2 linked regions of the Saccharomyces cerevisiae S288C genome follow. The gene in region 1 interacts genetically with each later gene. Each region holds a gene or a part of one and is shown on either strand. Other genes may lie near its edges. The genes, in order: COQ10 and NDI1.

The links.
Region 2: of COQ10 (region 1) and NDI1, changing one suppresses a phenotype caused by changing the other (phenotypic suppression), as found in Saccharomyces cerevisiae (one study listed by BioGRID).

What each region holds. Positions count from the first base shown.
Region 1 is NC_001147.6:308,639-311,635, forward strand, and holds COQ10 (ubiquinone-binding protein COQ10), read left to right. Parts: upstream 1-1,673; coding exon 1,674-2,297; downstream 2,298-2,997. Other genes in the region: RCL1 (rRNA-processing endoribonuclease), read left to right, coding at 1-403; ERMES complex subunit MDM12, read right to left, coding at 686-1,501; CSI2 (Csi2p), read right to left, coding at 2,704-2,997. UniProt on the Saccharomyces cerevisiae protein: Required for the function of coenzyme Q in the respiratory chain. May serve as a chaperone or may be involved in the transport of Q6 from its site of synthesis to the catalytic sites of the respiratory complexes.
Region 2 is NC_001145.3:27,766-32,066, reverse strand, and holds NDI1 (NADH-ubiquinone reductase (H(+)-translocating) NDI1), read left to right. Parts: upstream 1-2,259; coding exon 2,260-3,801; downstream 3,802-4,301. Other genes in the region: YML119W (uncharacterized protein), read right to left, coding at 383-1,456; Rag GTPase GTR1, read right to left, coding at 4,205-4,301.

The sequences.
Region 1 (2,997 bases):
TTCAGGGAAGAGTCCAGGCTGGGGTATTACTTTGGTTGCTCAGTCCAAGCAGAAAGGTTGGAGTTATTTTGCAGAAGATATCGGTGATGCAGGTTCTATACCTGAAGAACTTGGTGAAAAAGTTGCCTGTCAATTATTAGAAGAAATATCAAAGAGTGCAGCAGTTGGTAGAAACCAGCTTCCATTAGCAATTGTTTACATGGTCATCGGGAAAGAAGATATCGGCAGATTGAGAATTAATAAGGAACAGATAGACGAAAGATTCATAATCCTCTTGAGAGATATTAAGAAGATCTTTAATACTGAAGTCTTTTTAAAACCAGTTGACGAGGCGGATAATGAAGACATGATAGCTACTATCAAGGGTATTGGTTTCACAAACACAAGCAAAAAGATTGCATAGCATGTTCTAATATTATTCAATAGATATTAGACCACTGTATATAAGTTATATATATATATATGATTATTTAGGTGTAACTTCACGGACAACTGTCTAGAGTATAAGATTACTGGAGGATCATTGATGATTTCCTTTAACTCTTTTGGGTCATCTAAAATATCATCAAAGAGCGTATGCGAAAAGCGCGTTAAGAATAGATTACTTCATGACAAAATATAATTTTCCAGCTCAAAAATGTTTGTTTTTTTATGTAGACACTATTTTCAAACTATCTTTGTTAAATTACTCATCACCATCGTTGAAATCCAGATTAATCCAACTTGGCCATGCTAACTCCTTTCTTAAAAAATCTTTGAATATCGTAAACAAAAACTGTTCTAGTTCTCCAACACTTCTTAATACTGAGCCCTGTCCCTGATATTGTTCCCCTATTTCGGTTTCAATCTTCATACTTCTCACAATGGATATTCGCTCCAATGGCTTAGTAGCTGCCAGAATTGGCCCCTTAGGATCTAAAACAGTTTGGTTGTCATCCAGTGCAGGATCACTAACATCACACAGAAAGCTAAGAAATAGTTGCTTTGATAAACATGCAACAATGCAAAGGGAATGGAGACCGATATCACTGATAGAAAGTTTTACTGGCAAAGTCATAAATTTTTCTACGGGATAATTCAGCACAAGGTCGGCACCAATCGTAACGAGTAAGTCACCCTTGTACTCGACCTCTAGTAAAAATTGTATATCGTTGGGGGATGGCATCACCACAGGCGCCTCAAAATCATCTTTAGGTCCTTCATGATTAGCTATAGTACGATCAGGACAAATATGTTCGCTGTCCTCCTTGTTGTCATTATTTTCCTCCGTCTCTTGATCAGCCTCCTCTCTAATTGAATCATAAAACTCATCTAGGGGATCTGTTATTTCTTTCAGTGTTATAGCAGGACCAACTTTTCCCAGATCAAAATCTAGTACCCTAAGATTACTTACGTAGCTTGGTAGTTGCGTATTTTGTAAATATGAATTTAAATGTTTTCTTATAAGATCATTCAGTCTATTGTCAGATTCCAATGTACTCCAATTAATATCAAAAGACATTTGGATTAGTTGAAGCCAGCTTATGATCTGTTTCAACCGTTACATAGGATGGCATGCTTTTTCTCATGTTAGAGAAAAATTTAAAGATCGAGTTGTCTGAAAAACCTGAACTATTTAAAACGAATAATAGGATAAGGAGCCAAACAATAAACGGCTAAAGATACCGTGGAGAATGGTTTTGATAATAAGGCCCTCACAGACATTGATATTATTCAGGAAAGCGATGCTCAAGCCAATTGGGAGATATCCTCTTAAAAGAAATTTTTTTGGTTTGAGCGGTACCAATCACACTATTAGGGAACAGCGATATGTTTTGCGCAAGGCCATAAACGCCCCTCCAAGCACAGTCTACGCTGCAGTGTCAGAAGTTGCCCAATATAAGGAATTTATTCCTTATTGTGTTGATTCGTTTGTAGATAAACGAAATCCTGTGGATAACAAGCCTCTCATTGCGGGGCTTCGAGTTGGTTTCAAACAATACGATGAGGAATTTATATGCAATGTTACCTGTAAAGATACTGATCATACGTATACCGTTGTTGCAGAAACAATATCTCATAATTTGTTTCACCTTTTGATTTCGAAATGGACCATAATGCCTCACCCAAATAGACCAAATGCGGCCATGGTAGAACTTCTATTAAGATTTAAATTCAAATCTCGGATATATAACAGTGTCTCTCTAATATTTGCGAAAACTGTGACTGAATTGGTGATGAACGCATTTGCCAAAAGAGCATACCATTTAGTAAGATTAGCAATGCTAAAACCTTCTTCTAAAGAAGGCTCTCCGTGATATCTTCCGTATAATTTCAGATAACAAAGATCATGCCATCCAGGATAAGCGTATGCATGGTTAAATTTTTAGACTATAGAACAAGATTTTTCTGTATAGTTATGTTTATAGTATTTAAGCTTTCTAACAAGCTCCAGTAGGGGCGGAGGATACAAACAAATATATTTTGCTGCAAAATTTCCTGGTCTTCCGTCGCAATCAACAAGTTGATACGCAGATGCACCATTTTATTCATTGGCAAAGTACGATCAGTTTAGTGCTTGTATCTGTATGCGAAAAAAGAATGGTGTACTAAAAACAGCGCATGGTGATGGCGAGGAATTTACACGTATCCTCTCATTAATTGAAGTATTAGGTTTTCGAGTCGCACTTAGTGTAAATGAGGTGTAGAAAGGTGGGGACGCAATTATTCCTTACCGTCGAGCAGTTGATCCAGATGAACACTGGGAGGACGGTACTTCTTTACTTTACCCTGACTAACATTTGATTTTGGAGTAGAGCGGTCTTCAGAGTCGGGACTTAAATTGTATGATGTATAATTGAATGGATTAGTGCTGTCTGTAAACTTTCCCAGTATTTGGGTAGCACCAGGTTCCCTTGGAGTACTGGACAAGGAATCATATATAGCACTCTCATTGCTTTGAGACCATGTATTAGAGTTGTTGGCATCAGATTGCAGAATTTCGGTGGGTGAAATAAA
Region 2 (4,301 bases), on another chromosome or scaffold:
ATTTGGTACGTATATTATTTATTATTCTGCAACTTGTTTACTGCATGATAATATTGAAATAAAGTGAAGAGAAGACGGCACAGAGAAATTACAATGGCGCAAACGTAAGGCAAAAATGGCACAACGAATTCTGAATTCGATTGCTGGATCACTTTTCAAAGATATTGTGTTCGGTTGTGACAAAGGCATCATTAAAATAATTATATGTCTTTTGTCATAAATTTAGATCGTTAATAGGCTTTTTTTTGTATTTTTAATTCACATGTTAAATGTTTCGTTTTGGCAACTAATAATAAACTACATTAAGTAAAATGCAAAACTTCAAAGTGCGGAAAAATGTATTGGTATATAAATACTATAGACAGAATACAGAGAATCCGTATCATTTCAAAGGTTCATTACTTAGTATCTCCGCAGGGAGGATTCTGTTGTTCGCACTTCTCTGCTGAAAGCTATCCTCCTCCTCATCTTCCTCATCTTCATCTGAAATGGCGATGCTAAAAGAATCTACCATTCGAAATATATCAGATCTATCCATTGCCTTTCCATCAAAACTCAATTCAAAGCTTTCGTTGGCATTTGTGGAAACACTGGCCCCGGCTCTCTGCTTCGCATTGGAATTAGGGAGATTCTTTACGGGCTTGCTGTTACCTTGCAGCTGCTTTTGTTGCCGTAACGTTGATGTCAGCTGCACTCCGCATAATTCGTCTAGTGATTTTGAGATCCGTGTCTTACTATTTGTGGACAATTGAATAGGTTGCAAGAAGTGATAGTTTTTCTCAAACTTCAACGAAATTAGCAGGATTATGATTTTTTTGGATATATCGTCTATCGTTTCGTGCACTGGAGATGGTAATTTATATGTGGTAACGACGGACCTAGGTAAGATGCACTTCTTGATGTTGAAATTTGTTTTTGATTTCGTGGGAGAATTCGTCAACTTAGGTGCCACACTAGTGCTACTTCTTGTACCATACAAATCAATTGGCTTGGTAAAATACCGTTTCTTTGTACACGTTCTGGAAGGAAAAATAATTTCATTTATGCTGCTCACTTCCTTCGTTTGATTGAATTTAAGAGATTTAGAATTTAAATGCGACACCGACTGATGATGCGGATGGGAATTTACATTGGTGTTTGCAGCGCCCATGGTATTTGTATATCTAGATGGCCTGTTATTATTACTGCTACCGCCCCCGGTATAATGGTCTTCATTAACTCCTTTATTAACCTGCGAAATACTGTTAAACCTTGGTCTCAGGTTTTTTGTGGGTGACTCTGGATAATAGAAAAACTGCTGGTTGGAATCGAAAGTCGCTTTTTGTTGGAAGCTCAGGACTGGCTGCTGATTCAAATTAAACTGCGTAGGAGGCAGGACCAGCCCACCGCTGTTATTGATGTAAGATGATTTGTTATTGAGCGTCCTTCTTGGCGACACTGATGGACTTGGGCTCATTGCTACCTACTTTTTTTCTTACTGACCTAAGGCTGCAGGTGCAAGAAAAGAGTAAAAGAATGTTAAAATACGTTTTGAAAGGTCTCTGTTTTCATGTACAATTGAGGGATAAAAAAATCTTTTCTTTCTTTCAATGCGGATGATTGACACTTTCTTATTTTGTGTTTTTATTTATGTTCTTTCCTAATCTGGAAAGCATATTAAAGACCGGCGCTACCCGGTTAAGTAATCATACACGTGAAAAGCACGTGAACAACAAAGCACTTTAAAACTCATATACTACGCATTTAAAGAATGCTAAAACGGCAATTGCCACTGGGCACCATTTAAAAGGTCAATAATGAATCTGTGACCTTTCTTTGCTATAGCATCACTACAACTATGTGTTGCTTGTCGCTAGCAACGAACCTATTATTCCTTCGCTTTATTGTCGAAGACCACAAAATACTCCAAAGCAATAGAATGTCTCTTTCCGCAAATAACTTACTCAGGGAAACAATACGAATATGTGCAGATTGCCGATCATTGCTGAAATGCCTCAAAAATATGCATTTTCTCATGACCTATTCATTCGGACCAATCATATGAAGGCATTGAACGTCCGGGTAACCACAATAAGAGTGCTCCCCCTTAGCGCTCTTGGTTATTGCCGGTATTTGCAACGTCGACAGGGTATATATAAGATGTATAGGGCATAGTGGGGAAGGAGTTTTAACTACCAATTGAGGAGTTTCAGGTAGGGTGTCAGTTTCATCACATCATCGAATTACACGTTTACCCAAGAGAAGAAACTAAAAACCACTATGCTATCGAAGAATTTGTATAGTAACAAGAGGTTGCTCACCTCGACGAATACGCTAGTCAGATTCGCTTCCACCAGATCCACAGGGGTGGAAAACTCCGGAGCAGGTCCTACATCTTTTAAGACCATGAAAGTCATTGACCCTCAGCACAGCGACAAACCAAACGTGCTGATACTGGGTTCGGGGTGGGGAGCTATTTCGTTTTTAAAGCACATTGACACCAAGAAGTACAACGTTTCCATCATCTCTCCTAGAAGCTATTTCTTATTTACGCCTTTGTTACCTTCTGCACCAGTTGGGACAGTAGACGAAAAGTCAATTATTGAGCCCATCGTTAATTTTGCTCTCAAGAAAAAGGGGAACGTTACCTACTATGAGGCAGAAGCCACCTCTATCAATCCCGACAGGAATACCGTTACCATAAAATCATTATCTGCCGTTAGCCAGCTATACCAACCTGAAAACCATCTAGGGCTGCATCAAGCAGAACCTGCTGAAATTAAGTACGATTATTTAATCAGTGCTGTAGGTGCGGAACCTAACACATTTGGTATTCCTGGGGTCACTGATTACGGTCATTTCCTGAAGGAAATTCCCAACTCTTTGGAAATAAGAAGAACTTTTGCCGCCAATCTAGAGAAGGCTAACTTATTGCCAAAGGGTGATCCCGAAAGAAGAAGACTACTGTCCATTGTCGTGGTTGGTGGTGGGCCTACTGGTGTAGAGGCCGCTGGTGAACTACAGGATTATGTTCACCAGGACCTGAGAAAGTTTCTCCCTGCATTGGCCGAAGAAGTCCAAATTCACTTGGTCGAAGCTCTGCCCATCGTTTTGAATATGTTTGAGAAAAAGCTTTCATCATACGCGCAATCACATTTAGAAAACACTTCGATCAAAGTACATCTGAGAACGGCTGTCGCCAAAGTTGAAGAAAAGCAATTGTTGGCAAAGACCAAACACGAAGACGGTAAAATAACCGAAGAAACTATTCCATACGGTACTTTGATTTGGGCCACGGGTAACAAGGCAAGACCGGTAATCACTGACCTTTTCAAGAAAATTCCTGAGCAAAACTCGTCCAAGAGAGGATTGGCAGTGAATGACTTTTTGCAGGTGAAAGGCAGCAACAACATTTTCGCCATTGGTGACAATGCATTTGCTGGGTTGCCACCAACCGCCCAAGTAGCGCACCAAGAGGCCGAATATTTGGCCAAGAATTTTGATAAAATGGCTCAAATACCAAATTTCCAAAAGAATCTATCTTCAAGAAAGGATAAAATTGATCTCTTGTTCGAGGAGAACAACTTTAAACCTTTCAAATACAACGATTTAGGTGCCTTAGCATACCTGGGATCCGAAAGGGCCATTGCAACCATACGTTCCGGTAAGAGAACATTTTACACCGGTGGTGGCTTAATGACCTTCTACTTATGGAGAATTTTGTACTTGTCCATGATTCTATCTGCAAGATCGAGATTAAAGGTCTTTTTCGACTGGATTAAATTAGCATTTTTCAAAAGAGACTTTTTTAAAGGATTATAGATGAAATTAACATGCCCTTTTCTGGAAAAAGGAAAAAAGGTGGTAGGCACCGTTTTTTCCTGAGTTTGCATCCTTTTTTTTCTAAAACCCTCTAAACAAAACCTAACACACACACACACGCACAAAAAAATGCACATGATGTTTTATTATTTATATATTCCCACTTTTTTCGAAATGATGCTTGACTAATGCACAAGCAAAAAACCCCGACAAGATTGGTTGATCACTTCAGCTTTTTCCTCCCATTGTCCTATATATATATCTGTGATTATTTATTTCTTCCTCTTATGTTTCTCTATTTATTTTATACGCCAAATCCCATTTGTATATACGTAACGAAAGCTTTATAATTCTTATGCCCCGCAAACACTCAATTGCCGAATGTTTCGTCTACTCACCTCAGTCATTGGAAAAACTCTTTGGCTTTTTTGATGTTTTCCAATACTAATTCTTGTGGAATATTCATATCTTTCAACACTATAAAACACACCATATTGGAC